Linked DNA regions of Callithrix jacchus. The protein of the gene in region 3 purifies or fractionates together with the protein of the main gene of each other region. This does not show direct contact. Links are inferred from orthologs where the notes say so. Each region holds a gene or a part of one and is shown on either strand. Other genes may lie near its edges.

Region 1 (4,590 bases), on a different chromosome or scaffold from region 3:
TCAGGTGATAAGCCTGCCTCGACCTCCCAAAGTGCTGAGATTATAGGTGTGAGCCATCACGTCCAGCCTTTTTTTTTTTGGCGGGGGGGGGGGGGGACGACGGAGTCTCACTCTTACACCCAGACTGGAGTACAGTGGTGCAATCTCAGCTGGCCACAACCTCCACCTCTGGGGTTGAAGCAATTCTCCTGCCTCAACCTCCTGGTGCCTGCCACCACACCCAGGTAATTTTTGTATTTTTTTTTTTCCTTTTTTCTTTTTTTGAGACAGAGTTTTGCTCGTTACCCAGGCTGGAGTGCAATGGCACGATCTCAGCTCACTGCAACCTCTGTCTCCTGGGTTCAAGCAATTCTCCTGCCTCAGCCTCCCGAGTAACTGGGACTACAGGCATGCGCCACCATGCCCAGCTAATTTTTGTATTTTTAGTGGAGACGGGGTTTCACCATGTTGACCAGGATGGTCTTGATCTTTTTTTTTTTTTTTTTTTTTTTTTTTTTGTTAGACAGAATTTCACTGTTGTTACCCAGACTGGAGTGCAACGGCACGATCTTGGCTCACCGCAACCTCCACCTTCTGGGTTCAAACAATTCTCCTGCCTCAGCCTCCCTAGTAGCTGGGACTACAGGTGTGCACCACCATGCCCAGCTAATTTTTGTATTTTTAGTAGAGACAGGGTTTCACCTCGTTGACCAAGATGGTCTCGATCTCTTGACCTCGTGATCCACCCGTCTTGGCCTCCCAAAGTGCTGGGATTATAGGCGTGAGCCACTGCGCCTGGCCAGTTTTTGTATTTTTAGTAGAGATGAAGTTTCACCATGTTGGCCAGGCTGGTCTCGACCTCCTGACCTCAGGTGATCCACCCACCTCATCCTCCCAAAGTGCTGGGATTACAGGCATGAGCCACAGCACCCAATCAATTCTAGACTTATTTCCACTAAGACTCAGAAGACCCATATTTGTTGAAAAGGGACCAACTCTCCAAACAAGTTTTATCAACATGTCATCATTTCAGTCAAAGCACAGCTAGCCACCTAAAACCATGTATCATCAATGTGTTTTCTCCTTAGACAAGGTAACAATTCGCAGTGTCCTAAAACGTAATTATTTAAACTGTTACAACCTACCTTCTTAATAGCTAAAATCCTCTGTTGGGTAGGAATACAAACCTGGACCACAGACCACTTAACTATTAAATCCAAGTACCTCTAGAAAAATAAAATTTGAGGCCGGGCGCGGTGGCTCACGCCTATAATCCCAGCACTTTGGGAGGCCAAGACGGGTGGATCACGAGGTCAAGAGATCAAGACTATCCTGGTCAACAAGGTGAAACCCTGTCTCTACTAAAAATACAAAAATTAGCTGGGCATGGTGGTGCACGCCTGTAGTCCCAGCTACTCGAGAGGCTGCGGCAGGAGAATTGCTCGAACCCAGAAGGTGGAGGTTGCGGTGAGCCAAGATCGTGCCATTGCACTCCAGTCTGGGTAACAACAGCGAAACTCCGTCTCGAAAAAAAGAAAAAGAAAATTTGTTCTTAATCTGTTTGATCTTCTTCCTAATATTTTACTTGCCCTCCCTCAGTTTCTTAATCCATGTATTCCCTATTCCTATCAAAGGGACTGTCATAAGGAAAACGCTCAGCATTTTTTTCAAAAAGTTTACTTGTATTTACTCAATTATACACTTAAAAAAAAAATCCAAGTAGTCACAGGCGATCAAATTGTCGAGGAACAGGCAGGGAGATTAACTATTGTTACTCAGTTTTCAGGAAGAAAACTGCCTTTAATTTATTACAGTCCTAAGAAACGTGACATTTAACTTTAGGGGAAAAGTTTGTCATAAAGTTTATTTTAAATATAACATTTTCAAATGCACAGATATCAAGCATTCTTTTTTCATCTACAAAGTTTACTCCTTGCGGAGTTAGTATCTGTGAGCCCTGTTGGGTGAATTCTGCAGAGGGTGGTACTGAAAAAAGTATTATTTGTCTTTGGCCTTAAGTACCTCTACAAGACCTGCAGAGGATCTCTCGTCAGCCTTCAGGCCTATGAGTGCTCAGCTCACTAGCGGGACACTTGTCTTGGGTGAACAGGACCGCCACTATTGCAGACACCGGACCGAGCAGGTGGGGGCCGACTTCAAAGAAAGTGTGAGCGCCCGGGCGCGCTAGTGGAACAAAACCTGTGGCAAGTAATAAGGAAGTGCTCGCTCCCGCCCGCCCTTCCCATCCGGGGACACCCGAAACATGGGGGGCTTTGACAATGTGCAGGGGGCGTAAGAGGGGGAAGAGTGGCAGCTCCGAGCACACTGAGAAAAACTGGAAACGTGCAAAAACTCCAAACACCGTTCCCCCCATCCGAAGCGCTAGGCCTCGGGAGCCGATGCCCACTGCACCCATCCGGGTGCAGAGTGAGAAAGAGTAGTTGAGGAGGTCGTGGGGGGGTTTCAGGAGGATGCAACCCGCGCGAAGCCAGGCCCAGCGACACCAACTGCCGCCACTGCCGCCCCCTGAGCCTCCAGGCCCGGGACAGAGGCCACCCCGGGTCTCATCCCGCGCTCTACCCTCCGCTTCCTAGAGCCTTCTCGCTGGCCTCATCTTCAGAGCGCGAAGCCTCCGAGAGCCGTCTCCCGCCTCGCCCCACTTGCCCGTCCCGGCTGCCTCTCACTCCCCGGAGCTCCGGGAAACGCTTCCAGTGGCCCCAGGTGCACCCCTGTTCCTCCTCCCACTGGCACTGGCGTCCCCAAGCTAACACCGCCACCGTACCCCAGGCCCTGACGCCAGCCCGCCTCACCTCAGACGGCTCCAGCAGCGCTGAACACAGGAAACTCCTGGGTCCCCGACTCCAGCTCTCCTCAACCCCCTCTTCGGTTAACTCCGCTTGTTTCTCGACAAAATGGCGCCGGAGGTCGCGCGCTCACGTCGCGGCCTTTCCCCTCCCCGTTCCCATTTCATCATTCGCTGCCCGCCCGAGGAGGGATGGTCCCAGCGCCAGCCAATGGCCGCGCCCCGCCTGTGGCTCCCGCCCAATCACCGACAGCTACCCGCGGATTTAAACCAATCACACTCTATCACTTGCAGAAGTCGAGGAAGAAACCAGGCTTTTGCTAGCAACTACCAATCCAGACTTCTACTTCGTGGACTGTAGCCAATTGCCGCTCACCAGGCCCAGGGGACCTGAGTCGGAGCCCTCGCGCCTGCGCTCGAGGCGAGGGCCAATAGAGAGACGCTGATAACTTCGATTTGGGGCTTCATGGACTTCCTACCTGCCCTGGAGGGCTGCGACCAGTGGCGCTTGGCATTGCCTTTGAGGAACAATAAATTATGGAAAGGACCCATAGCTCCTCGCCACTTTGTGCAGGAACTACTTTGAGTTACAGTGAAACAGCCTTCCTCCACTTTCCTTTCTCTTTCGAAATGTCACAGTCCAGTAGACTTCGGGGAGTACCAACCGAAACATTCCGCCCCCCTAGTGTCCCTTTGGCGGGGAACACCAGCCAGAAAGCAAGTCAGATAGTGACTAGAGTTGGGGCGCCTTGCATCCTGGGATATGTAGTCGCGCTTCCCTACCCTGTTCTCATCGGAGAAGTACCGCGTCTTCTTCCGTCACTGGCTGCGCCCTAGAAGGAGCAGTACATGCTGGGGGATGTAGTCACACAGGTGGCCACCTGGTCCTCGCTTGCTTCGCTTTCGTCAAGGGAATTTTCTCTTTTAATTCTGCCTATTGAAGGAAACACAAGTGTTCTTCCTGGCTTAAGTCCTAGGAGCCGTCTAAGAAAGGATACCCATGTCCTTTGCTCTCAAGTGGAAAAGCATAGAGACATATTTTGCTATGGTTTGTTTGTTAACTATGATAATTGGTAAGATTTTATGCTCACCTGTACCCAAAAGAGAAAGGACTGGAAGGAAGTGTTGACTGGTTAACTCTATTACCTTTTGAAATTAAAACCTATCCCCTGCTCACCCCTGCTCTCAGGCTAGGCTTAGCAGGTGATCGCCTGGCCATCTGTCTCATATTACCTCTTGTGCCAAAAAAAATACTGAAAAAAAAAAAATATATACTGAAAAAAAAAAAAAAATGATGGTAAAAAACATGAAATTTGCCGGGCGCAGTGACTCACGCCTGTAATCCCAGCACTTTGGGAGGCCGAGGCGGGTGGTTCACAAGGTCAAGAGATCGAGACCATCCTGGTCAACATGGTGAAACCCCGTCTCTACTAAAAATACAAAAAATTAGCTGGGCATGATGGTGCCTGCCTGTAATTCCAGCTACTCAGGAGGCTGAGGCAGGAGAATTCCCTGAACCCAGGAGGCGGAGGTTGCAGTGAGCCGAGATTGCACCATTGCACTCCATCCAGCCTGGGTAACAAGAGCGAAACTCCGTCTCAAAAAAAAAAAAACATGAAATTTAGCATCTGAACCTTTTTTTTTTTTTTTGAGACTAAATCTCGCTCTGTCACCCAGGCTGCAGTGCAGTGGCACGATCTCTGCAACCTCTACCTCCCGGGTTCAAGCAATTCTTCTACCTCATACTCCGGAGTAGCTGGGACTACAGGCGAGCGCCACTATGCCTGGCTAATTTTTCAGTTTTTAGT
Region 2 (3,719 bases), on a different chromosome or scaffold from region 3:
AGCAGGAAAAAAGAAGGTCCAAACTCAGGCAGTCAAAAGTCCACAGCCCAAGGGCTTTACCCTGTGGGATGCTATTTTCTAAGATCTGGCAGGTCCAGAAACTTTGGCTAAATGAGTGAGTAGGGTACGGAAGTGCTGGGAGACTCAGGTGCCAGAAGGGAAGCTTGAATCAGCCCCAGAGGTACTCCACTTTTGGGAACACGGTATCCGATCACAGATGTGACTAGGTTAGCATGGCCGGCCAGCCTGATTTCCCATCACAGATGTGATTAGGTTAGCATGGCCAGCCAGATTCCTGCCCTGGACTCTAAGGCCACAGCTGGTCCCAAGTTCAGGGAATGGCCAGATTCATCTTCTATACAAACCTCATCCCCCACCCCTCTCTTCCATTGCTGCCTCCATAACAAACCTCACAATTATTCCTGCTACCTTCTCTGTTTAGAAGATGAAAAAGAGTAACTTGGGAGGACTGATCAAGTTACTTAGGATGGGGAATAACCCCAATTCTGCATGTGAAGCGCCAGGATCTGTGGCTATTGCTTCTTTACAGGAAACTTTTCTGTGAAGGAATGCTAGTTTACCATTTCGTCCCCCCATTATCAATGGCTTCTGCCTTACTGTTCTAGGGGAAACACCACCAATCCAAGAAGCCACACCTCTCCCTGATGCTTTGCAAATAAAGATGAAACAACTTGACGACTGAACTATGTGGCTTTTTTTATTAGAGAAAGTCAGAATTACAATGGACTTAAGAGTTGGCATTTGGGCCCTTCTTCTTGCCAAAGGTGGGCACAACGTTGACAAAGCGCCGGTTGTACTGCATCCGCCTCTTAGCCCGGCCTGTCTTCTTCTTCTTCTTCTCCTGTTTGGCCACCTGGAAAAGGGAGGGCCCTGGTTCCTGTATACCTTGCCTAGCATCCCTTCCTCAGGCTCATCTCCAGGGAGGAGAAGGCAAACCAGGTAAGAGCCCAGGGTCTTGGATTAGCTCTGACAGGAAAAGACAAAGTTCAAACAACACCACTGCTAACACTCTCTCACTCACCTTAGGAGTCTGACCTCTCACCTTCCCAGCACGGGCCAGGGAACCATGGACTTTACCTGTAGTGGGAAAGGAAGGCAGGTTAAGAGCAAGAAGGTGCCACCCAGCAAAACCCCTCTTTCCTCAATTCAAGCTTTAAAAAGAAGCTGGGCCCAATAGGTAATGAGAACAAAGTTGCAGATATTTGATCTTGAAATCTGAAGTTTCATTTAAGGATTTTCCAGCTCCTAACTTTATAGAGCACTTTGGGGGCTCTGGGCTGACCTAATTTTAGTGAGGAAGCTTATAGCCAGACAAGGATCCTATATGTGATTGAAATGCAACTTCACTCTGACTCAGTCTCTCATGGATGTCTGTGTTCAATTTGAGGCACGTAAACAAGAAGAATCACTGTGAACTGAGGATACAGGGGAGAACTCTGTATTACCATAGGTTTGACGACACTCAGCTACCGGGACCATGCCCCACACCCATAGACGCGTACAGGTAGTACAAAAAATATTCCTCTCACTCACCTCCGAGCATTCGGCCTGCTACTTCCAGCGTGGTCAGGGCCTCCACCCCGCACTGGCCCAGGGTGGCCTCATCCTCCAGGGGCGTGCCTGCCAGGAGTACGACTTGATCTTCCGGGGCAATGCCCTCCAGTGAGGCTACATGAGCCTACAGGGAAAGATAAAGCTCCTAAGAGTCCTCTCGGTCCCCGAAGGTGAAGAGCACAAGAAAATGGAATCCAGGGCGCACCAAACAGCCCTACCTTAATCTGGGCGACCGTCTCCTGGCCGGTCACCTCAAGGGTGTGTAGGTCCTGGGCGCGGACGAAGAGCTGCATGTTGGCGACTGAGTAAAGACGGCTTGTAAGAGAAGCGAGGAAACGCTCTGGGATAAAGCAGGTTTGGGAATGGAAAGCGGCCCAGAAACGATCGCGACGGGATGGAGGGGGTCGCGGAGACTCACGTGGGGAAGGCCAGGCCTGCCAAGAAGTTCGGATAGGAACTAGAGCAGAACCACAGAGCAGGTCCCGTTCTTCAGTTTACCCCGCTCCCTCTGACCCGGCAGCCAACTTGCTACTAAGCCCTTCGGATCCAGCCAAGGCCCGAGTCTTACCTGAACCGCGGTGTCAGCTGCCGCTACCGTGAAGATGGAGTCGAGAAAGAGGAAGGAGCGAGGGCGCGCACGTACAGATCACCGGTTGCGCGTCGTGTCACTACTGAGCGACCGCGAGGGGCCCTGGTATTTGTACCGCCCAAGGCGGCACTAGCTCCGCCCCTTTACACTGGCGCAGGCGTTTTTCCGTCCCAGGCAGCGCGCGCAGGAGGGGGCGGGACCAGACGGTTGCGCGCGCCGACGGCTAGCGTAGCGGGTCAAGATGGCAGCTACCAAGTTTTGGGCTTTGCTGCAGGGATGGAGAACCGGTGTCCAGCGGAGCTGCGGGCTACGGCTGTTGGTGAGAGCGCTGAGCCTGGAGCTGAGGGCATCGCGTGTCTGAGGCTCACTGTTAATCATTGTAACTCTGAAAACTAAGGCATTCCTACTTGGGGCCTTAGTTTTGCAGTTTTACGATCTGGAGAACTTGTCTCGAGTGTAGATATAGGAACGAGAGGGAAAGTGGCAGAGACTGGAGTGCTCTTTGGGACAGTGTGTGGGTTAGATTCTGGCTGCAGGACATCCCAGGTTAGTCAGGACTGAGAGGAGTTGCACATCGACTCCAGTAGCTACCCAGTTTTTCGAAAGCGAAATCAGAGCAGGCGCTGGCACCAGATCATTGGCGACGCTTTTGGGAGCGCAGAGCTGCTGATATTCAGCTACTTCATCCTACTTCCCTGCTCTTGTAACCCCGAGCTTGTCAGAACTTAGGGGTATCTGTCCAAGAAGGATCTTTATGCTGGAGGATGGGAAGGCAGACTCCGGGCTGTGACGTTAAGTAGAGTTTACAATTATTTGTTAGTGTTGGCCTTTCCTGGCTGTAAAAAAGGTGTAATAAAATACCTAATCAGGCACGTTATTAGAATCAAGTGAAGGCCAGTGCCCGTAAAGCACTTAACACAGTGCCTGGCAATGTCTATATGAGGCCAAAACTTTTCAGATAAGGGGCGGGGTCCTAGCATATGAGTGTGTGTGGGGAATTATGATTGCCTTAAGAATTAAGGCAATCATTAAATTAAACACCACTATATCCAATCACAGATGTGATTATGTTAGCAAGGCCAGCCAGGCAATCATGGAGGTACAAACAAGGCCACCCTGCCAATGTAATAATAATATTTATTTCTAAAACCGAGGCAGAAAGTTAAGCCTTAAGTTTCTGTACGCTTTTCAGAAGCGTACACATACTCTTGAATCCCACAGAAATCCTAAGAGAGGCAGACCGTTCAGAGTACCTGAGCTTCCTTTCCATTCCATCTGTACCCTTCACCATGGAAAACTAAAGACCGGTGCTATCTTATGTCAACCTAAATAACAGACTCTAAAAGAAAATGATATTTATTTGGGAATGGGTGTAGACTATATGCTTATCAGGGAGGTAAAAGAAGACAAAGGTTTTTTTAAAGGAAACATGGGCCGGGCATGGTGGCTCTCACACCTGTAATCCCAGGACTTTGGGAGGCCGAGGTGCGCAGATCACCTGAGGTCAGAAGCTCGAGACCAGTCTGGCCAACATGGCAAAACCCCATTTCTAATA
Region 3 (4,710 bases):
GTTTTCATACATTCTGTGGATTGTTCTTTTCGCTTTCTTGTTGGTATCTTTGTTTTTTGTTGTTGCTGTTGTTTTTGAGATAGGGTCTCATTCTGTTGCCCGAACTAGAGCATAGGGCTGCAATCACAGCTCACTGTGCCCTGACCTCCTGGGCTCAGGTGATCCTTCCACCTCAGCCTCCCAGATAGGTGGGACTACGAGCATGTGCCACCATACCCAGGACATTTTTTTTTTTTTTTTTGTATTTTCTGTAGAGATGGGGTTTTGCCATGCTGCTTAGGCTGGTCTTAAACAATCCACTCAGCTTGGCCTCCCACAGTGCTGGGATTACAATTAGCCACTGCACCCAGCTAATATGAACATCTTTGAAACACAGTTTTTAGTTTTGATGAAGTTCAACTTACCTTTTTCTTTTGTTTCTTGTGCTTTTTGTCATATATCTAAAAAAAAAAAAACTCACTGCCTATTCCATGGTCATGAAGTCTTATGTCTATGTTTTCTAAGAGTTTCATAGTTTTAGTTCTTAGATTTAGCCTTTGATACATTTTGAGCTAATATGAATAAATGTTTAGTCAAGTCTTAAGTTTCTTTTAACAATGATTTGTAGTCTTCAAAATATAGTTTTACTTTTTTTGACAGTCATGCTCTGTCACCCAGGTTGGAATGCAATGGCATGATCTTAGCTCACTGCAACCTCAACCTCCCAGGTTCAATCCAGTCTCCTGTCTCAGCCACCTGAGTAGCTGGGATTATAGGTGTGCACCTTCATGCCTGGATAATTTTTATATTTTTTTGTAGAGATGGGGTTTCACCATGTTGGCCAGGCTGGTCTTAGAAGTCCTGGCCTCAAGAGATCTGCTAGCCTTGGCCTCCCAAAATGCTGAGATTACAGGCGTGAGCCCCTATACCTGGTCTAGTTTTACATTTCTTTTGTTAAATATATTCTTAATATTTTATTTTATTTTTTTGATGCTCTTGTAGATGAAATCGATTTTTGTTTTCAGAGTGTCCACTGCTAGTGTATTGAAATGTAACATATATTATTTATTTAACAAATCTTTATTAAGGGCCTACTATATGCCAGACAGTCTTTCTTATATGTGTAAGAAAACTATTATTAACATATTGTGGATGAAAGTATACAACACTAGCTGGGTACGGTGGCTCATGCCTGTATTCCTAGACTTCTGGGAGGTTCAGGCGGGTGGATCACTTGAGGCCAGGAGCTGGAGACCAGCCTGGCCAACATGGCGAAACCCCATCTCTACTAAAAAGACAAAACTTAGTTGGGCATGGTGGTGCACACCTGTAATCCCAGCTACTTGGGAAGCTGAGGCACGAGAATCACTTGAACTGGAGAAGCAGAGGTTGCAGTGAGCCAAGATTGTGCCACTCCAGCCTGTGTAACAGAGGAAGAAAAAAATAAAGATTATGAAACATTGTAAACACATTTTTACACTTTTGAGACTTTTGCTTCTTCAGACAACTAATATTTATATACTCATCTTATATCCTGTAACTTTGTCTAACTAGTTTTTTGTTTCTATTAGCTTTTCATTTGTAGATTTCTTAACATTTTCTATATATAAGATCATGTCATCTGTGAATGAGATAGTTTTTACTTTTTTCCTCCTTATCTGAATGTCATTCGTTTAATTTACTTGACTAATTGCCCTGGCTAGAAGGTCCTGTATGATGTTGAACAGAAATAGTTAAGAGTGGAGTTCCTTGACTTGTTCCTGATCTTTAAGAAAAAGAATCTAGTTTTTCACCATTCAGTATGTTAGTGGTGGGTTTTTCATCCATGTCCTTTGTCGGGTTGAAGAAGTTCCTTTCCTAGTTGTTTCAGTGCTTTTATCATGAAAAGGTACTGGATTTTGCCAAATGCTTTTTTTGTGTCTACTGAGATGATCATATGTGTGCAATTTTGAAATGTTTATTGATGTAGTGAATTACTAATTGATTTGCAGATGTTAAATCAACCTTACATTCCTAGGACAAATTGGTGATGATCTATTTTATAGTCTAATTTATTTTTTCCTTTTAGATGAAAGAAAAAGATAATTTTTAATTGTGAGAATATATACATAACACAAAATGTACCATCTTAACCATTTTTAGGTCTATAATACATTAAGTATGCTCTAATGGTTCCCAAACGTTGTGCTATAGTTGTCACCTTTTCATCTTTCATTTCAGTTATCGTCTACTGAGTAAAACTGCCTGAAGCAGCTGCACCTTCCATAGTGAGTAAAGTGTAGTGGTTTTATGAACAATATTTTTCTCAATGTTAAAAGAGGTTCTTATTACTTACATCTTAGGGTTTTTTTTTTTTGAGACAGGGTCTTACTCTGTCACCCAGGCTGGCATGCAGTGGTGTGATCTTGGCTTACTGCAACCTCTGCCTCCTGGGTTCAAGCGATTCTTGTGCCTCAGCCTCCCGAATAGTTGGGATCACAGGGGTACACCACCACACCCGGCTAACTTTTTTGTATTTGTAGTAAAGACAGGATTTCACCACATTGGCCAGGATGATCTCAAACTCCTGACCTCCAATGATCCACCCACCTCGGCCTCCCAAAGTACTGGGATTACAGGCGTGAGCCACCACAACTGGCCTTAGGTTTCTCTAGTGATCTGCATAGCTAGGTTTATTGAATATCTGACAAGATTAAACGGATGTTACTGTGCTATGACTGAAAAGCACTGGGCTACCTACCACAATAAATCCAACATGCTGAAATAAAGGGTTTGCAGTACCAAACAGATTTATACCTATTTAAGTAGAAGGCAATGTTACCCAATTTTAATTCAACAGGTTTCTCTCAGGAGAAAAACATACAACACACACACACACACACACACACAGAAATTTGAAAGTATTAAGTCACCCATCTTACCTGAGCACCCACGAGCTGCAGCAATGCTGAGTTCACAGGGAGAAGCTCAATGTCTGTATTGATAGTGGTCTGGTCAAATGGGCAAGCCTTGCGGTGGAGTTTATTCAGGCACATCTTGCAGACAGTATGGCCACAACCCAAACTGATGGGCTTTCGAATTGTTTCGTCGAAAGTCTGAGTGCAAATTGGGCAGGAGAGGAAATCCGTCCATTGTGGAGCTTGTACAGGCATTGCTTCTGGAGTTACAATTCACGAACACAAACACACACACAAATCTAAAGCAAAGATTCCACTGGAATCAAAATCTTTGAAAAAAAGTTTATCTTTTTTTTTTTTTTTTAAATATCTTCTGTAGATACAGTCAGCACATAGTGTGAAATATAACCTGGAAAACAGAAAAAAAAAAAAGGAAAAAAATTGCATGTCTTTCTTTCCAATTAAATTGCTGAAAAAGAACCACAAGTCCAGTCTTATTCCACAACTTTTTATACCACATTTGTACCACGGTAATCCATCTTTTTACACTTTCACAGATTTAGAGCAATGATAAAACATCTAGTTTATTCCCTCATTTTAGAGATGGGAAGTAGTCCCCTGCCTGAGGGGACACTTTAAATTAGTAATAAAGTTAGATCCAGGACCCAAGTCTCTTAAGTTTATTTAAGTCTCTGATTTTTAAAAAATAAATATATCTAAAACTTAAACTTGGTTAGGTACAGTGGCTCACGTCTGTAATCCCAGAATTTGGAAGGCCAAGGCAGGTGGCCCTTGAGGTCAGGAGTTGAAACCAGCCTGGCCAAACATGGTGAAACCCCATCTCCACTAAAATTACAAATATTAGCTGGGTGTGGTGGCAGGCACCTGTAATCCCAGCTAATCAGGAGGGTGAGGCATGAGAATCACTTGAGACTGGGAAGCAGAGGTTGCAGAAGGCCAAGATCATGCCACTACACTCCAGCTTGGCTGACTGAGTGAGACTCTGTCTTAATAACTAACTAACTAACTAACTAACTCTTTTTAAGGAAACTAATAATACTGTGTTTCTTGACCTGGGTACCATTTACATGGGTTTCATTAGTTGTGAAAATGTATCAAGCTCTTCACTTATGTGCACTTTTATGTATGTTCCACATCAATAAAGAGTTTTTCTTTGTAAATAGCCTAAAATAAAAAGTACCTTAAATACTTTATCGTCAAATTTGGTGGGAGTAATGAGATAAAAAGAGACTGTTTATTTTTAAGTTTCAGATATTCTTCTGAGCTTTATATACTGGTAGATGTCTCTTTTAGGCTCTTTGTGTGGCCTATACTTATTTGCTACAGCATGTTTTAAAACTATATAACGTATTTACCTCAAAATTTTTTTAACTCCTAAATTTAAGAATGATGGAATAATTATGATTAACCAGAACCTATGTATGATCAAATTTCACTGTCTACCTTCTACTTTTGGTGGGAGATAAAAGCCAAATTACAAAACTTATCACCTGGTGTCTACCAGGAATTTTCTTTAAATATAAAACCCAACCTGAAATTGCTAGCACACATCTTAAACAACATCTACTATACTTGCTATAACTGTAGTTTTTAAAAATGAGAATTGATGCCCAGAAGAATAAAGTACCGCTGGGTGTGGTGGCTCAAGCCTGTAATACCAGCACTTTGGGAGGCCGAGGCGGGTGGATTACGAGGTCAAGAGATCGAGACCATCCTGGTCAACATAGTGAAACCCCGTCTCTACTAAAAATACAAAAAATTAGCTGGGCATGGTGGCGCATGCCTGTAATCCCAGCTACTCAGGAGGCTGAGA
Region 4 (4,006 bases), on a different chromosome or scaffold from region 3:
TGGAGACATTTTTGATTGTCACGATTATCACAACTCAGGATTATGGAACACTATTGGCATCCAGTGGGCAGAGGCCAGAGATGCAATTAAACATCCTACAATGCATAGGACAGTCCCCTCCTGCCCTCTACTTTCCACCACAAAGATTCATCCAGCCCCAAATGTTAATGGTACCAAAGCTGAAAACCCTAGTCCAGGTCACAGTGGTTAAAAAACCCATGATTTCCCTGCAATCAGCAGAAAGTACCTTAAAAACTGATTAACTTAAACTGTCCAGTGGTGGATTTAAAAAAATAGACCACAAAATGCTATTAAGATAGTCTTAGATTATATGACTGAATAATAGTATTTACAGGTGCAGTTGAATAAACCTTACAAAGCAAGACAACAAAACCAAGCAGCCATTATCAGGCTTACCTGCTATACTTTAATAAGCACATTCTTCTTTTATTGTTAGGTAAAACAATTTCTTTTACTGTTTTACCTAACAATAAAAGAAGAATATACAAACCATTCTGAAAACAATTTAGTCAGGCAACTAATATGGAAATCAGTCTATTATATTATTTATAGTCATACCTTGTAGAAGAGCCAACACCCAAGATTTTTAACACTCAAAGTACCCTTGTGTTTTTGTTAAGTGCTTAATTTTCTGAATAACTTCTCTAAAGCTGTGTAAGGTCAGTGCCAAGTTGGCATTCATATTTCATAAAGAAACTTGACAAAGAGGAAAGGTTTTAGTAAGAATACTATTAAGTGCCTTTGGGGCCATAAGAGCCACAAAGTAGATTCCTCAACAGGATCTCCCTTTTCTTAATTTTTCAGATACAACAGGTGGCAAAAATATTTTAACTCACACGATAAATCCCGTCTATTATAGAGGCCACCCAGAACACTATGTTAAGAAGGATTCTGAAGTGAAATCCGGTTCAGTTGGGGAAAAGTGTTTACTAGACTCCTCTTGTATGCCATGTACTATGCCTTGCAGATGACATAGTGCCAATAATGGTTAGGGAGTGAGAAGTAGCTGTATGCCTGGTATCTTTCCTGTTATGTGAATAGTGTTTCTTTAAAATTCATTGGGTAAAAGTAAATAAGAATCTGGAAGATACACACACACGTGCCCACGCACGGTCTACTGCATGCCCTTCCTTTTATTATTCAGAGAAAGTTTAGGACCATTTTCAATATATGCCTCCTCTAAGTGACTCACTCAAAGCATTTACCTGGTTTCTGGATGTGATGCTACACATTGCAGTAACGCCAGAGCATTGCAAACTCTGTTAGATTGGTGTGCTGTCAAGGTGGGTGGGTTGATAGAAGGATAAATATTTACAATTTCCTAAAAAATGGAAATCAGCATCAGATGAATAAGGAATAACTAAAAATTAATTCCCATGGTAATAAAGCAAAAAAAAAAAAAAAGGTAAAGCAAATACCTCTTAATTCTGTGTCTTGAAAGAACTGAATGATCAAAGAGGGAGCAGAAATAATGCTCATATCCTTTCATCACAAACTTACTTGGCTGAGACTAACTAGCTAAGACATTTCTACATTTGTCTCTGGGAAGATTTCTATGGCTATGCTATGGAGGCAAATGCAGTCACCTACACTTCCTCTTATATTCTCCAGCTATTCAGGCTATCACTTGAGGGATACTCAAATTTTTATAGTCCCTCCTTTTGCTAGCATCCTGCTTTAAGTTACAGTGATGAGACTGCAGGCCAGAAAGTGTTAAGTCAACCACAGTGACTCAATGAAGTTTGAATTTGGTTAGGTAGTAACTATAGTACGGACATGAATCAATGAGTGCGGATATGTATAAACAGCAATGAATAGATGTACTCTCTGTAAAAACTTAATGACTTAATACAATTCCATTTACTTTCCCTTTTTTGAGACAGGGTCTGACTCTGTCATCTAGACCGAATATAACGGCATGATCATGGCTCACTGCAGCTTCCACCTCCTGAGCTCAATTGATCCTCCCATTTCAGCCTCCAAAGTAGCTGGGATTACAAGGGTCACCACCAGGCCTGGCTAATTTTTGTATTTTTTGTAGAGATGGTGTTTCACCATGTTGCCCAGGCTGGTCTCGAACTCCTGGGCTCAGGCAATCCTCCTGCCTCAGTCTGCCAAAGTGTTGGGATTATGGGCATGAACCACTGCATCTGGCAATAATATTCTATTTACATTATTTGTAAAACATTAACATAGAAACACATTCCCATAACAAAGACCAGTTTCTTGGCTAAATGAAGTAGAGATGGAATGTGAATTTACTTAAAAGTTGAAAGGTTAATATAATTATTAGGAAGGCAATACTTTAATGGATAATCACACAACTATCTAGGTATTTTGGTATTATATAATATCAATTAATTAGCCACCAATGACGATTCCAACCAAACTTCACTTATTCTTTAATGCACAAGTGTACCCATCTTTAATACTACAGCTGTTATCTTTAACATTTCCTTTCCCTGGAATATACTGTACGTGGTCCTTATATCTTACTTTCCATCTTCCTTCCCCCATCATGTAGATTTATCTTGCAATACTCCTAAAGCTGTGTTTGTCAAAGTATAGTTCTTAGATCACCTGCATCAGAATCACCTGGGGGCAGTTAAAGTGCTTATTAAAATACAGATTACAGGGCCCACCCCAGACTGACTAAATTGAATCTCTTGGGTAAGGACTCAAGAATCTGCGTTTTAACAAGTACCTTAGACCTTTCTAAAAGAGGTTCTTAGGAATGCTGTTTTTTTTTTTTTTTTTTTTGAGATGGAGTCTTGCTCTGTTCCAGGCTGGAGTGTGGTGGCACGATCTCAGCTCACTGCAACCTCTTGACTCCCTGGTTCAAGCGATTCTCATGTCTCAGCCTCCTGAGTAACTGGGATTACAGGCACATGCCAACACGCCCAGCTGATTTTTGTATTTTTAGTAGAGATGGGGTTTTACCATGTTGGCCAGGATGGTCTCGATCTCCTGATCTTGATTGCTGACTCTTAAAGAATCATCCTTGTGAAGTCTTTAAATCACTTGGGCAAAGGTAAAGAAATATACAAGTGTGATGAAAAAAGCTTAACTGCCAATCATGGACACGAACCCACCTGTAAAAGTGCTGCAATAGTACCAAATGAATGCCACAGCATGGGTGCAAGGTCAGGAACAGATTCTCGCTTCTTACTTAGCTCCAGCAAAGCATTTTCCCTTGTCTCAGGACTGGACAGCTCATTGATCCACTGATAGATCTTTTCTCTATCCACTTGTGCCAATGCAGTAGGCACAGGCTTCAGATGAAGACAAGAAAGTAAATGTGAGTTTATTAGAGTCAAACCAAGTCTTATTCTGCACCAGAGCTTAGAGGAAATATATATTTCATGAATACCACGGGAGCTTTTCTAAATACATACATCTGATGTTAATCTCTCTGGCGGTTATTGATGAAAAAAATCTAAAATGCACACATGCCCTTTGAATTTCATGTTTAGGAATTTATCCTCTAGGTATAATTGAGCTGTACTAAAGACAAACCAAGATGTTTACTGTTGCACTGTTTTAAAAGCAGAAAACTGGCTGGGTGCAGTGGCTCAAGCCTATAATTCCAGCGATGTGGGAGGCCAGGGCAGGCAGATGGATCACTTGAAGTCAGAAGTTTGAGACCAGCCTGGCCAACATGGTAAAACCCCATCTCTATTAAAAATTGGCCAGGCATGGTGGCTCATGCCTGTAATCCCAGCACTTTGGGAGGCTGAGGAGGGGCAGATCACTTGAACTCAAGAAGTTCAAGAGCAGCCTGGCTAACATGGTGAAACCCCATCTCTACTAAAAATGCAAAAATTAGCTAGGTGTGGTTACGGGCGCCTGTTATCCCAGCTATTTGGGAGGCTGAGGCAGTAGAATTGCTTGAACCTGGGAGGTGGAGGTTGCAGTGAACCGATATGGTGACACTGCACTCCAGCCTGGGGAACAGAGCAAGAAAGCAGCATCTCCCCGCCCCACC
Region 5 (4,444 bases), on a different chromosome or scaffold from region 3:
GGTGCCACAAAGCCAGGGACTGAGGAAGGCAGGGTGAGGTAGGGGATGTGTTTGAGGTTGGGAGTTTACGACTGAGGCAGCAGGGAAATAAGTGACTGAGTTGGGGAGGATTGAGAAGACAACCAGGCTTGCTGCCACATGTATGTAATATGACTCTTGTCTTCTATTTTCCCTGCTAAGGAATTGATTTAAAATCTGCTCAGAAATTGATGATTACATTCTGCCATGTTACATACCCTGACATGCAACAATGTTTAAATCATACCGGAAATATAAAAATTGGATTGGTTTCTATCAGGGCAGAGTCTGAATTAAAGAGTTCATGTCCAGTCTCATAGCGGAGGTAGAAGACTGGGCTAATGCCTGTCACTAGCATTTACAGAGGTGTGAATTTGGTAAATAATTTCATCTGTGAAATGGTTTCAGCATTTGTGAGAAGAGGCAAACTATTTGCCTAACGAGATGTTGACTTCAAGGTTATTCAAAGCTACTGACAAGAGATGCATTTGCTATTTTATATTAACGGAAAGCGATTTAAAATCATGATATATTTAAAGACGGCGCTACGAAATGTGCTTAAAAATGCAATGAAGTTGTATTCTCTTAATTAACTTAATTAGTATCAACGCTTTTAGTCATCATTGATTTCAGTAGTTCCCTCTCCTCATCGCAACTCCTAGCACACACGCACTCGAAATGCTCTAACATGGTATTTATTGAGCCCATGTGACCAACACTACAGCCACCGAAGCCCCGGCTTGCAGGACACGAACGGACAATTAAATGGAATGACTGTAGCAAGCGTTTCTCCAGTCTTTCTGGAGGATTCCCCCGCGTCTAGCGCTGCACGGTCAGGAGTTATCCGACCGCCACACGGCGAGAAGCCCGGGAAAGGCGCGCCACACTCCCATGTGATAGCTCCACTTGTGTTTTTGCTTAGTTCTGCTACCCTAGTTCACGTCCCCACTAGAAGAAACGTATTCCACCTCACATTAGACAGAAGAGCCTCGATTCACCGTGGAGGCTGACGGAGGGGGACTCTGGCAACTGAGCACCTCGGACTTATCACAGGCGGGCTGCAGCCTACCCGCGGCCGGCGCGGCACCTCAGCAACACCCCCTCCCCCGGAAGTTTGTGGGTCTCCAGCTGTAAGGTCTGGGAGTCACCTTGACCCTCCCGGAGCGGTGGGGAAAGTTAGCCCTGGGCCCGAGGGGGCGTGAGTGAAACCAGAGAGCACTTTCGCGAGTCAATTACACCGTCACGTTTTTCTGGTTTCAGGGTAGCTGAAGACCTAGAGAGTTTGAGGGTGGGTAGAGCAGGTGGCAGGACTCCGCCCACCACCACCACCACGCTTCCCCTCCTTCAGCTCGTACGCTTCACTCCCTTCGTGAGGTCCCGCCTCTCAGGCGCGCGCGAAGAGTTGTCGCGAGGTGCATCCTGGGAATTGTAGTCTCTACGCGGGGAGTCGCCTCAGGAGAAACGACTCTGGCCTACATAACCCACAGTGCCTTGCGGCGCAGGCCGCTCCCGGATGTGTGCCTGGCGCCGGAAGAGAAGACGGCCCCCCTCTCTCGGCCCGGCCATCTTGTGGGAAGAGCTGAAGCAGGCGCTCTTGGCTCGGCGCGGCCCGCTGCAATCCGTGGAGGAACGCGCCGCCGAGCCACCATCATGCCAGGGCACTTACAGGAAGGCTTCGGCTGCGTGGTCACCAACCGATTCGACCAGTTATTTGACGACGAATCGGACCCTTTCGAGGTGTTAAAGGCAGCGGAGAACAAGAAAAAAGAAGCCGGCGGGGGCGGCGTTGGGGGCCCTGGGGCCAAGAGCGCAGCTCAGGCCGCGGCGCAGACCAACTCCAACGCGGCAGGCAAGCAGCTGCGCAAGGAGTCCCAGAAAGACCGCAAGAACCCGCTGCCCCCCAGCGTTGGCGTGGTTGACAAGAAAGAGGAGACGCAGCCGCCCGTGGCGCTTAAGAAAGAAGGTAAAGCAGGGGCAGAATGTGGGGGAGATTGAGATGGAGGGAAGGAGCTAGGGGGCTGCCGGCTGCCACTTGTTTCTGGAGCTCCGAGGGTCCCCGGGAGACTTTGTAGCCGATTTCCTCACGTTTCTTCACGCGACCAAAGCCAGGTCCTGCAAAGGTGCCGGGAGCGTGGTAGCCCCAAGTTCAAGCCACCGCCGGCTAGGTTCCCGGAGCCACCTCCTTCCCGCCTCAGGTTGTGAGCAGAGGAGCGTGGTTGCAGATGAGCTGCTCCTCGAGCGCGCTCGACGTACTGGGAGGCTGTTGCCTTCCCGCCGGATTCCTTGGCGGGCGAGCGCGTGGACTGAGGTGCGGGGAAGCCGGCCGCTCACTGAAGCTTCCCGTAGTTATGGAGGAGCTTGGGTCCACCGCTGCTTACTGCCAGAGCTGCACCTTTGAGATGATGATGTTTCGGGCTCCCGTCCTGCCATCTTGTCCCACGACGGAGCGGAGTACCCCCACTGAAAAGCGGGGGTCGTTCCAGGCCATCAGACGTGTGGAATAAGCTGCTGGTTGGGGTGCCGCATATGTTTTATTGTTTCCCCTCTCCCTCTCAACTGTTAGGAGCCTTCTCATAACTTGCTGGGGTGAGTTGAGCTGTCGGGAAATGGAGGAGTTTGCCACACTCGATTAAGCAGAAGCGGGAATTACGAATGAAGACCGGTGATTGCAGGACATCCCGAGGAACGTCCTCGAGTCGCGATCCTCTCTCTCGACTCCCCAGACTGAATCTTTAACTTGGTGTGGTCTGGGTCTCGTGGGTGAAGTCAGTGCAGAGGCTGTCACAGCATTAATCGCAGCAAAGCTCTTTAGAGTCTGCAGTTTTTTCTTCCACCCCACATGTGTGTGAAGCATGATCGGTTTCACTGGCGGTTAATAGTTGTTTCCAGGGCACTGAGTTTCATAGGATTGTCTTGATTTTTGCACTCATTACCGGTTCGTTATGGATGAAAAAGCAAACGGTTTGGGGATAAGAACATGCGTGGTTAGTAGCAAGCAGGTGTCGGACTTCAGCTCTGAATCTTTAAAGTTGTATTTTTATGTTGAAAGTGGAAATTACCCCTTACCACGTGCTTCAGAAAGTTGTTTCTCATTAGCTTTAGTTGAATTCTATAACATTCAACTAATTTTCAAAATCAAAAGTTTACTCGTGGTAGGATTTGTTTTAGGAATTTTTTTTTTTTTTTTTTTTTGAGGACTTTTGTGAGGCTTGTAATGAACCTCGGTCCTAGGTGGTGCGTAAAGGAAAATAATTAATTCTTGTGGTAAAATTGTAGGTTGGGGAAAAACGGGAGTATTAGAAGGCATGTACGTCACTTAGGCCAAGTATCTCTTTAGCTAGTTAAGCTTTATGGGACTCTAGCACAATTAAATAAATCATTTAGTTCCCGTGTTAAGAAACGCTGAAACTATGCTTAAGCTCACCTCAAGAAAGTACATGAAAAAGTTGAGTCTGACGAATAAATCTAAAATGTACCAGCTAGATGTGTTCACTCATTTTGAATGCTCAAAGCATGAAGCATGGTTTAAATGCCTGAGTTTTGATCATGAATCCCGTCTATGAAATAAGCTCTTACCTGAAAAGTAATGTTTTTATAAGTTGCAAATGTGGGGAATGGTTTCATGAAGTTAGAACCAGGACTTAAAGTTCACCATTCAGTAAATCCATGGGAAAACTATTTCATATTAGCAATCAGCATTTTTCTTTCTTTCTTTCTTTTTAAAATTCATTTACTTATTCTTTCCCCCCAGCCTCTTGCAGGTAGCAATCAGCATTTTTCTTAGGTCATTATTTCAGAGCATTCTTAATAAGTTGCATAAAATACAAGCATATAAATATAGGAAACATGATGAATGGAAAATACTCGTTTTGAGATTCTACCGTTTGGTTCACTGGGAATAAATCTAAGGAAAATCCCTGCATAGAGTAGGAAGGTTAACCTGTTTGTGTTCTGTGATTTTGGTAACACATTGTGACACAATGCTTAACAAAGTATAGGCAGATATATAATGTTTTATGAATTAAATTTGTAGCTACTCTTGTCCATTTGAAGAACTTAAGAATTGACAGCAGAATGTCATTGAGAGTGGAACAGACATTTTCTTAAAAAGAATGAATGCTTCGAATCTAGTGCAGTTAGTGAGCTTGCAAGTTATAGATAAGTATATCAAAATAAGCATGCAGTTTTCAGTATCAATCTTTTTCATTAGGTGAGCTTAATAAGTGTTTTTTAAGATTCTGTAAGCCTAATATTGGATATTGGGTGGGGACACCAACTATTGTTCACTTGGGTGTGTTTGGCTTGGATATTATTGCAAGGACTGGCTCCGTAGCTCCACCCAGTACACTTTTTTTTACTGACATTTATTTAAATACCTTGGTGTAAGGTCTAACATTTGTAGTCTTTTTGAGGGTTTGCCGGGAAT
Region 6 (4,006 bases), on a different chromosome or scaffold from region 3:
CCAAGTCTGTATCCTTTTTCTCACAAGGTTCCCTCCAGTTTTAGGCATAATCACTAATGGCTAAGTACTAAGGCCTTTCAAAACAAAAGAGACTGCATAGAAATGTCTTACAGGAACAGAAAGGATGCAGCAGCATGCGTGAAGCTCAGCTTTGTTGGTCCCTGGCTAAGTGATCTTGAAAAGTCATATGTGACCTTTTTTGACCTATAAAAGCAGCACTTTTATATAGCTCAACCATATACTTCATTATCTAAACGTCTTGGTTTTCTCATTATAAATCTCTTCCACAGAATTGCCATTGAAATTAAATATTTAATTTGAAAACCAACGAGCACAAGCTCTGGCACATAATAATGTTTCTTCTCATGTTTAATTCCCTTAGTCTCTACTAAATTTTGTTCAAGGAAGGCAGATACCGGATCACTTTTCTTCTCGTTTTTAATTTTCCTATTAGTGCTTATCAAAGGGCCTGATAGGAATGGAGTATGTGTTGGATATATATGTGTTCCCTCCAAATATGTATTCAAATGAAAGGAGAAAATGATGGGAAAATAAGATTTTTTTCATTAAACCTCTGTTCCGTTTGCTGCATTGGCCTGTGTATAATCTAGCAATAAGTACTGATCACTTGATCAGTACTTGGATGGAGTCTCAGTCTGTCGCCCGGGCTAGAGTGCAGTGCTGCAATCTTGGCTTGCTGAAGCCTCTGCCTTATGGATTTGAGCGATTCTCATGCCTCAGCCTCCCACATAGCTGAATTACAGGCACGTGCCACCATGCCTGCTATGTTGGCCAGGCTGGTCTCAGACTCCTGACCTCAAGTGATCTGACTGCCTTGGCCTCTGAAAGTCCTGGGATTGCAGGTGTGAGCCACCATGCCCAGTCCTGATCACTTGACTCTTTAATTTTTAAAATTAAATAAACTCTTATTTTCTGGAGAAGCCCTGGCCTGTTGGCACTTGTTCTGTGTTCTCTCCAGCAGGGGACCTCCTCGCCCACGACCTGCCCCAGCAGTTGGAGAGGCTGAAGATAAAGAGAATCAGCAAGCCTCCAGTGGTCCGAACCAGCCGTCTGTTCGCCGTGGATACCGGCGTCCCTACAATTACCGGCGTCGCCCACGTCCTCCTAATGCTCCTTCACAAGATGGCAAAGAGGTAAATCCAGCCAGTCAGGGCCGATGTTGCCCGATCGTTTTTAATCATGCCAAATTGTAGCATTCTAAGAGTGGCTTTATCACGTGATAACCTGACACTTAACAAATATGAAAACATTTTGCTCAGTATCCTTATATATAGGGTATGCCTTGCACATAACACAAACCAAATATTTGATTCCAGTTAAAATTTTTTGAAAGAATGACCCATACTGATGGGAATTTAGAGCATTAGGGCTCCTCAAATAACAGAGGCATTTATAGAGGAAGCTGCCTCTAAGCGGGAGCTGAAAGCACTTAACACAGACTTGATGGAGAGCAGTGGTGTTTAGTTGCTGTTTGTAAGCTGTTCTTCTACGGTACCAATTTGTTTTGTTTTGTGTGGGGTTTTGGTTTCGTTTTGTTTTGGCAGAGATGCCAGGGACTGAATGTGGGACTCATTTGTGACTCATACAGAAGAGTAGTTAAATTGCATAGTGATTTTTCTTCACAGGCAGGAAAATTTAAGAGTCTTGAACTTCCCACTGTCACCTGACTTATTTCTGATTTATGGCTTTGTTTTGCGTTTTAGACCAAGGCAGGTGAGGCACCAACTGAGAACCCTGCTCCAGCCACCGAGCAGAGCGGTGCTGAGTAACACCAGGCTCCCCAGGCACCTTCACCATCCACAGGGTAAGAGCTGGGGCAGCCCAGTCTTGAGTTGGTATTTTCTTTTCAATATCACTGGCTTCTCACCAAGAGTACAAATTAGTCTAAAGTAGTTCTGCAGTTCATCTGTGGCAACCCCTTGTCTCTGTTGGGATTCTGTGGAAAAAGTGATTTGGTGGTTAAATATTTCTGGGATTGACCTCATTTTGATAAGCTTTGGTGAGGGTATAAACATTCAGACAGAGGTGATGATAACGCAGCTTCCTTTTCTACACAGGCAGTTTGTAACTTCTAGTGCCACTTAGGAAAACAGATGCAAAAAGTCCCTAACAAAGGCCTGGTTTTAGTAATCAGAAACCAGTTCAGAATCTTTAGTAATCAGAAAGAGTAGAGTAAACTAAAGGGGTTTTCCTTTTCCTTTTTCTTTGATGATCCACTTTATTTGGAAGCAGTGCAGCATAATGTGTAAGAGCCAAGGTTTTTCTATCCAGTACAGGCCCTGCTGCACCCCTCATTTGCTTGTTGATCCAGAGTAGTTTATCCTGTTTTATCCTACTGATCTCGAACTTCTGTCCTGTGGAAAAAGTGATTTGGTCACTAGCAGATGTTTTGATCACTGCTTGCCTTGGCCTCCCAAAGTCCTGGGGTTACAGGTGTGGGCCACCACGCCCAGTGGTAAAAATGAGGATAATAATTATACTTACTAGGGTTGTTGCAAAGATTATTAAGTGAAATAATGGTTAGGAGATGTTTACACTAGGGTAGGGTAAAGAATAACCTCTTGAAAAAGGATAGCTTGTTATTTTGTCATTTTCTACTTTTTTCTGTCTTTTAAAGATACATTTATATACAGTAGAAATATAGCTAGAAAAATCAACTCAACTATAAATTCTGGGTTTTTTTTTTAATGTATAACCTTTTAAACTGAGAAGTTAATTCTTTTGATACTTCTTGCTTTTGCTCTTTCTATGAGCTTTTAGTTAAGAGAGAGCTTATAAACTCAGTATCAATGCTATTTTTCAAAAATTGTTAAAATTTCATAAATGAAGTTTTGGGATTATTATAAGTTCTTGTGTCTTAATGCCATCTGCTTTTATATCCAGCGATTTCGGATTTTAATCAGCCTTTTATTAGGTAGATATTTGCTATGAGGGCAATATTCTGTTTTATCTTGGGTAGCATGGACAGTTTGTCACATAAATAAGTTCCCTATTCAGACTTGGAATCAACTGATTTAGAGTAACATATTAATCATATAAAAATGGCCGTAACCTTTTATGGAGTAATGTTACTTCCAGGTATTATTTCTAAGGAAATAGTTTAAATATTGGGAAAAAATATTTCTACAATTTACAGTCTGACATTTGGGAAGTGGCTAACTGCGATATATTCATATTAGGAGCTAGGGATCAGCCACTAAAATGATTTTGAGTATTACTCATTAGTAATGGTAATTTTCTTTTATACACTTTTATAAATTTTTTCTATTATGTACTGACTTTTCTGGTTTATAAAAATACTTTATTAAAAAGTAAGAGTCCATTTAAATAACAGATAGCTTACAGATCTATACTAGATGTGATTATTTAGAGCATTTGATGTACTCTTTTTCTAATTATATGAAAAGCAGATAATTTTTGCCTTTTTATTGTTTAACTCTTGGTTACTTTGTCACTCTTTCTAAGTTTGATTTTAATTTTCTCCAGGTGACCTAAAGAATTAATGACGATTCAGAAATAAAGGAAAAAGCAGGTCACAACCTTACAACACCAAAGAAACATCTAAGCAATAAAGTGGAAGACTAACCAAGATTTGGACATTGCAATGTTTACTGTTATTCTTTAAGAAACAACTGCAAAAGGAAAATGTCAGCAGATTTTTCCAGCAAGCTGAGAACCTGGGAATTGCTGCACAGAAGACAAGAGAGCAACCTCTCCCGTTTCAGCAACCACTAGCTTTATATTTTTTTTCCTGGTTTTTACTGTTTTGGTAATATAAATTGAAACAAGAAATATTAATCCCACATGGGGAGAACCCCAACCAAAGAAATATATAGGAAATGCTTTTTTTTCGTTTTGTTCATTTTGGATGCTGGTGCTAAACCTCCAAGTGTCATGATTTAAAAAGAAATTTTATGTCCTCCTTATTTATTTCTAGGATGAGGGAAGGATAATATTTTTGCTTTCTTATGTGACTCTCTTTGAA
Region 7 (4,006 bases), on a different chromosome or scaffold from region 3:
TGGCTCATGCCTGCAATCTTAGCATTTTGGGAGGTGGAGGTGGGCAGATCACTTGAGGCCAGGAGTTCAAGACCAGTCTCAACAACATGGCAAATCCCTGTCTCTACTAAAAAGGCAAAAATTAGCTGGGTGTAGTGGTGCTTCGCCAGTAATTCCAGGTACTTAGGAGGTTGAGGCAGAAGTGCTTGAGCCTGGGAGGTGGAGGTGGCAGTGAGCTGAGATTGTGCCACTGCACTCCAGCCTGGGCGATGGAGGGAGACTGTCTCAACAAACAAACAAAAAAGAAAAAGAATTTCCTATATATAATGGTATTTGTTTTATCCTTACAAGATAAGTTCTCCCAATTTCTAAAGAGTCACATAATTTTTATTTATCTTTATTTTTTTGAAGAGATGGGGTCTTGCTATGCTGCCCAGGCTAAACTTGAACTCTTGGCCTCCAGCTCCCTGCCTAGATTTGCACAATTTTGAATTTATACTAGAAACTAGAACTATACAAAAATATTCTGGAGGTTGGTAATTAGAGTATATTAAGGTGACAAGCAGAGGATAGTAACAAATGAGAAGCTTTAGGAGTTAAGCACTTACTTTAATAATTTTTTTGTTTTTTTGAAAAGTAATCTCATTTTGTAGTGCACTGGAATGAACTTGGCTCACTGCAACCTCCACCTCCCAGGTTCAAGAGATTCTCTTGCCTCAGCCTTCCCAGTAGTTGGGATTATAGGTGCCCGCCACCATGCCTGGCTAATTTTTGTATTTTTAATAGAGATAGGGTTTCACCAGGTTGGCCAGGCTAGTCTTAAACTCCTGACCTCAAGTGATCCAACTGTCTCAGACTCCCCAAGTGTTGAGATTACAGGCATGAGCCACCATGCCTGGCCAAAATTTATTATTTTTTGAGACAGAGGTTCACTCTTGTTGCCCAGGCTGAAATGCAATGGCGCTACCTCAACTCACTGCAACCTCCACCTCCCCAGTTCAAGCGATTCTCCTGCCTTAGCCTCCTGAGTAGCTGGATTGCAGACATGTGGCACCACACCAGGCTAATTTTATAATTTTAGTAGAGATGAGGTTACTCCATGTTATTAGGATGGTCTCAAACTCCGGACCTCAAGTAATCTGCCTGCCTCAGCCTCCCAAAGTTCTGAGATTACAGGCATGAGTCACTATACCTGGCCAATTTTTTTTTTTTTTAAAAGACAGAGTTTTGCCATGTTGGCCTGGCTGGTCTTGAACTCCTGACCTCAGGTGATCCATCTGCCTCAGCCTCCCAAAGTGCTGAGATTACAGGCATGAGCCACCGTGCCTGGCCGACAACAGGACTTCTTACAAACATCCCTCCTGTCAATGAAAAGCTGCTAGTTTCCTCCTTTTTTCTTTTCCTTTTTTTTTTTTTTTTTGAGACAAAGTCTCACTCTGTTGCCAAGGCTGGGGTGCAGTGGCACAATCTTGGTTCACTGCAACCTCCTGGGTTCAACTGATTCTCTTGCCTCAGCCTACAGAATAGCTGGGATTACAGGTGCCCACCACTACACCTAGCCAATTTTTTGTATTTTTACTAGAGACGGGATTTCACTATGTTGGCCAGGCTGGTCTCAAACTCATGACCTCAAGGGATCTGCCTATCTTAGCCTCCCAAAGTGCTGGGATTACAGGAGTGAGCCACCACACCAAAGCTGCTACTTTCTACTTTTCTTTTTCAGGGATCTCTCCTAACTTAGCTTTCACCTTATTTCTCTCTTCCAGAAAGACTAGAAATATAAATACTTTCCCTTCCTGTTATACAAAACAGATAATTTCAGAAATTTAGGCTGAAGATATTAGGAATTTACTTAAAAACCAAAAGGGTTTACTAAAGAAGTCCTGAAAGGATTTTGCCAAGGGAGGTCACAAGGATTAGAATACCTGCAAGTTTCACTGCTTTCGCTGCTCTCTGTGTTCCCACCTAATTGATTACTATTTTTAGACCCATTTTCTTGCTTTGGATCTTGCTGTTCCTCAGGCAGCAGCAACAAGGCATTTCTGAGACATATGGCTGCAAACTCCATACTGGCTACAGGAATGGCCGAAGACTGCCCATCACTTAAAAGAACAAAACCAAATTAGCTAAGTAAATAAAAAATTTTTAAATAAGACTTTTTATTATAAGGAATAAAACCAACGAATTATAAATGAAAGTTTTGCCTTTTGATAGGTAGAAATTTTAATATAAGCTGTTATAAAAGAACACTATAGAATCTAAATCCTGAGTATAGGTCATAAACAGTATGGGTTGCAAGTATATAAATTACGTACACTGTGTCTCTATGAATGAGACCAAGGGGGAGAGACAATTTGATATCTATCTACATTGTTAATGTTAACATACTAGAGAAACTGCAGACAAGCGCTCAAGGGCAACTGTAATGAGGGCCATGACAGGTTTATTAAGAATGGGATTGGAGGGAAGAAAATAGATTTTCATGTTTGAGGCTTACTTTGGTTGATCCTTGTTTTCAAAAATGCCTCTCTATACACTTAAACAGCAACCCTACCTTTGGTCTGATAATTTCAATGACATTTTATACAACTTTCTATTGGTTTGATATATTCAAACAGAATCTATATTAGGGAAAAATAAAATTTTGAAAAGTAGTAACCATGTTGAAATTGCTTTAAAATTTTGAAATGCTTTATCATAATAGTCTTTAAAAATATTCCTGCATTATAGTTAATCTAAATTAAGACTAAATTGGACATCAGATGTTTTTTAAACTTTTGAATAATTTTTAAATAGTAGAGATTTTCTTCTTTGACAAAAACAAATTAAGTCAGCTAATTCTTTGCAAAGTCTGACACTTTACAAATAATGGCAATTTCAAATTGTCAAATGAAGACTGTACATGTGACAGCTTCTATACTGCTTTGGTTGGTTGCTTTATGTTTTAATACACTTGTTTTCTCCTAATACTAAGAATTCACTTTCATGTATTTTCAGTGCTAGAGACTACAAAAAAAAATACCTAAATGAAAAGTACAAATGATAACCAAAACTACATAAAAAGGAGACACCAAGATGCCCTCTTCTGGATATTCTTAATAATGGCACTGAATAGACTAGGGTTTCCTAGGCCATCAATAATAATAATTGCAGCATCCATGAATGTAATAAACCAAAATCACATGTTAAGATAACATTCACTATGGACCTCTAACATGAGGGTCTGTTTGTTGAAACAGCAATAAAACCTAGTTAGAAAGTGGTTCCTCCTATGCAATGATAAATCCTAAGCATACTTTAAGTAACATCGTGTAAACCAGTATTAAATATATATACTTTTTCTTTGGAAAATACTTACTTATAAACAGTATTCTGTATAGACTGTGATGCCAAAACTATTTTACGATGATAGCCTTGACCAACAATAGACTGTACAATTCCTTTTTTGCTGGGAAGGCCTTTAGTTTCTTGTTCAGAAGTCTACAAAATACAAATAATTTCCAATAAACTTATGAGAATTTTAAGATATGGTATAAAAAATGAGGAAATGCCTCTCACAATTACCCTAAATTTAAGAGAGTTGTTAAAATCAGTGAAGATTTTTTTGGTGACAATGGAAACATGTTTGGTATTAGTGGACAAAGTACACAAGGCTGAAAATCTGGGATATGTGCTACTTTTTTTTTTGAACCAGTCTCAACTCTGTTGCCGGGGCTGGAGAGCAGTGGTGCGATCTCGGCTTGCTACCTCTGCCTCCCGGGTTCAAGCGATTTTCCTGCCCCAGCCTCCGGAGTAATGAAATTACAGGTGCACGCCACATCCGGCTAATTTTTGTATTTTTAGTAGAGACGGGTTTTCACTGTGTTAGCTAGGATGGTCTCGAACTCCTGACCTCGTGATCCACCCATCTTGGCCTCCCAAAGTTCTGGGATTACAGGCGTGAGCCACCGTGTCCGGCCACTACATTTTGTTTACATCAGATTGGAGAAAATTCTAAGAGCAAAATCCAATACAATTACGACCCAAT

The links.
Region 1: the proteins of RC3H1 (region 3) and CNOT1 purify together in Homo sapiens (affinity purification with mass spectrometry; 5 studies listed by BioGRID, with this or other methods). This does not show direct contact. The link is inferred for Callithrix jacchus from reciprocal best matches to the Homo sapiens genes RC3H1 and CNOT1.
Region 2: the proteins of RC3H1 (region 3) and FAU purify together in Homo sapiens (affinity purification with mass spectrometry; 3 studies listed by BioGRID, with this or other methods). This does not show direct contact. The link is inferred for Callithrix jacchus from reciprocal best matches to the Homo sapiens genes RC3H1 and FAU.
Region 4: the proteins of RC3H1 (region 3) and CNOT9 purify together in Homo sapiens (affinity purification with mass spectrometry, with the first as the bait; 4 studies listed by BioGRID). This does not show direct contact. The link is inferred for Callithrix jacchus from reciprocal best matches to the Homo sapiens genes RC3H1 and CNOT9.
Region 5: the proteins of RC3H1 (region 3) and SERBP1 purify together in Homo sapiens (affinity purification with mass spectrometry, with the first as the bait; 3 studies listed by BioGRID). This does not show direct contact. The link is inferred for Callithrix jacchus from reciprocal best matches to the Homo sapiens genes RC3H1 and SERBP1.
Region 6: the proteins of RC3H1 (region 3) and YBX3 purify together in Homo sapiens (affinity purification with mass spectrometry, with the first as the bait; 3 studies listed by BioGRID). This does not show direct contact. The link is inferred for Callithrix jacchus from reciprocal best matches to the Homo sapiens genes RC3H1 and YBX3.
Region 7: the proteins of RC3H1 (region 3) and CNOT10 purify together in Homo sapiens (affinity purification with mass spectrometry, with the first as the bait; 3 studies listed by BioGRID). This does not show direct contact. The link is inferred for Callithrix jacchus from reciprocal best matches to the Homo sapiens genes RC3H1 and CNOT10.

What each region holds. Positions count from the first base shown.
Region 1 is NC_133521.1:16,470,630-16,475,219, forward strand, and holds the start of CNOT1 (CCR4-NOT transcription complex subunit 1), read right to left. Parts: upstream 2,889-4,590; 5' UTR 2,790-2,888; intron 1-2,789.
Region 2 is NC_133511.1:122,201,037-122,204,755, forward strand, and holds FAU (ubiquitin-like FUBI-ribosomal protein eS30 fusion protein), read right to left. Parts: upstream 2,195-3,719; 5' UTR 2,144-2,194; intron 2,010-2,143; 5' UTR 1,994-2,009; intron 1,891-1,993; 5' UTR 1,869-1,890; coding exon 1,794-1,868; intron 1,700-1,793; coding exon 1,555-1,699; intron 1,099-1,554; coding exon 1,043-1,098; intron 875-1,042; coding exon 749-874; 3' UTR 693-748; downstream 1-692. Other genes in the region: MRPL49 (large ribosomal subunit protein mL49), read left to right, coding at 2,406-2,483.
Region 3 is NC_133519.1:29,069,236-29,073,945, reverse strand, and holds the start of RC3H1 (roquin-1), read right to left. Parts: upstream 3,187-4,710; 5' UTR 3,132-3,186; coding exon 2,901-3,131; intron 1-2,900. UniProt on the Homo sapiens protein: Post-transcriptional repressor of mRNAs containing a conserved stem loop motif, called constitutive decay element (CDE), which is often located in the 3'-UTR, as in HMGXB3, ICOS, IER3, NFKBID, NFKBIZ, PPP1R10, TNF, TNFRSF4 and in many more mRNAs.
Region 4 is NC_133507.1:140,321,618-140,325,623, reverse strand, and holds part of CNOT9 (CCR4-NOT transcription complex subunit 9), read right to left. Parts: intron 3,294-4,006; coding exon 3,114-3,293; intron 1,343-3,113; coding exon 1,227-1,342; intron 1-1,226. UniProt on the Homo sapiens protein: Component of the CCR4-NOT complex which is one of the major cellular mRNA deadenylases and is linked to various cellular processes including bulk mRNA degradation, miRNA-mediated repression, translational repression during translational initiation and general transcription regulation.
Region 5 is NC_133508.1:104,663,815-104,668,258, reverse strand, and holds the start of SERBP1 (SERPINE1 mRNA-binding protein 1), read left to right. Parts: upstream 1-1,566; 5' UTR 1,567-1,668; coding exon 1,669-1,981; intron 1,982-4,444. UniProt on the Homo sapiens protein: Ribosome-binding protein that promotes ribosome hibernation, a process during which ribosomes are stabilized in an inactive state and preserved from proteasomal degradation.
Region 6 is NC_133510.1:12,410,448-12,414,453, forward strand, and holds part of YBX3 (Y-box-binding protein 3), read left to right. Parts: intron 1-979; coding exon 980-1,154; intron 1,155-1,724; coding exon 1,725-1,790; 3' UTR 1,791-1,825; intron 1,826-3,507; 3' UTR 3,508-4,006. UniProt on the Homo sapiens protein: Binds to the GM-CSF promoter. Seems to act as a repressor. Also binds to full-length mRNA and to short RNA sequences containing the consensus site 5'-UCCAUCA-3'. May have a role in translation repression.
Region 7 is NC_133518.1:70,915,277-70,919,282, reverse strand, and holds part of CNOT10 (CCR4-NOT transcription complex subunit 10), read right to left. Parts: intron 3,460-4,006; coding exon 3,338-3,459; intron 2,082-3,337; coding exon 1,905-2,081; intron 1-1,904. UniProt on the Homo sapiens protein: Component of the CCR4-NOT complex which is one of the major cellular mRNA deadenylases and is linked to various cellular processes including bulk mRNA degradation, miRNA-mediated repression, translational repression during translational initiation and general transcription regulation.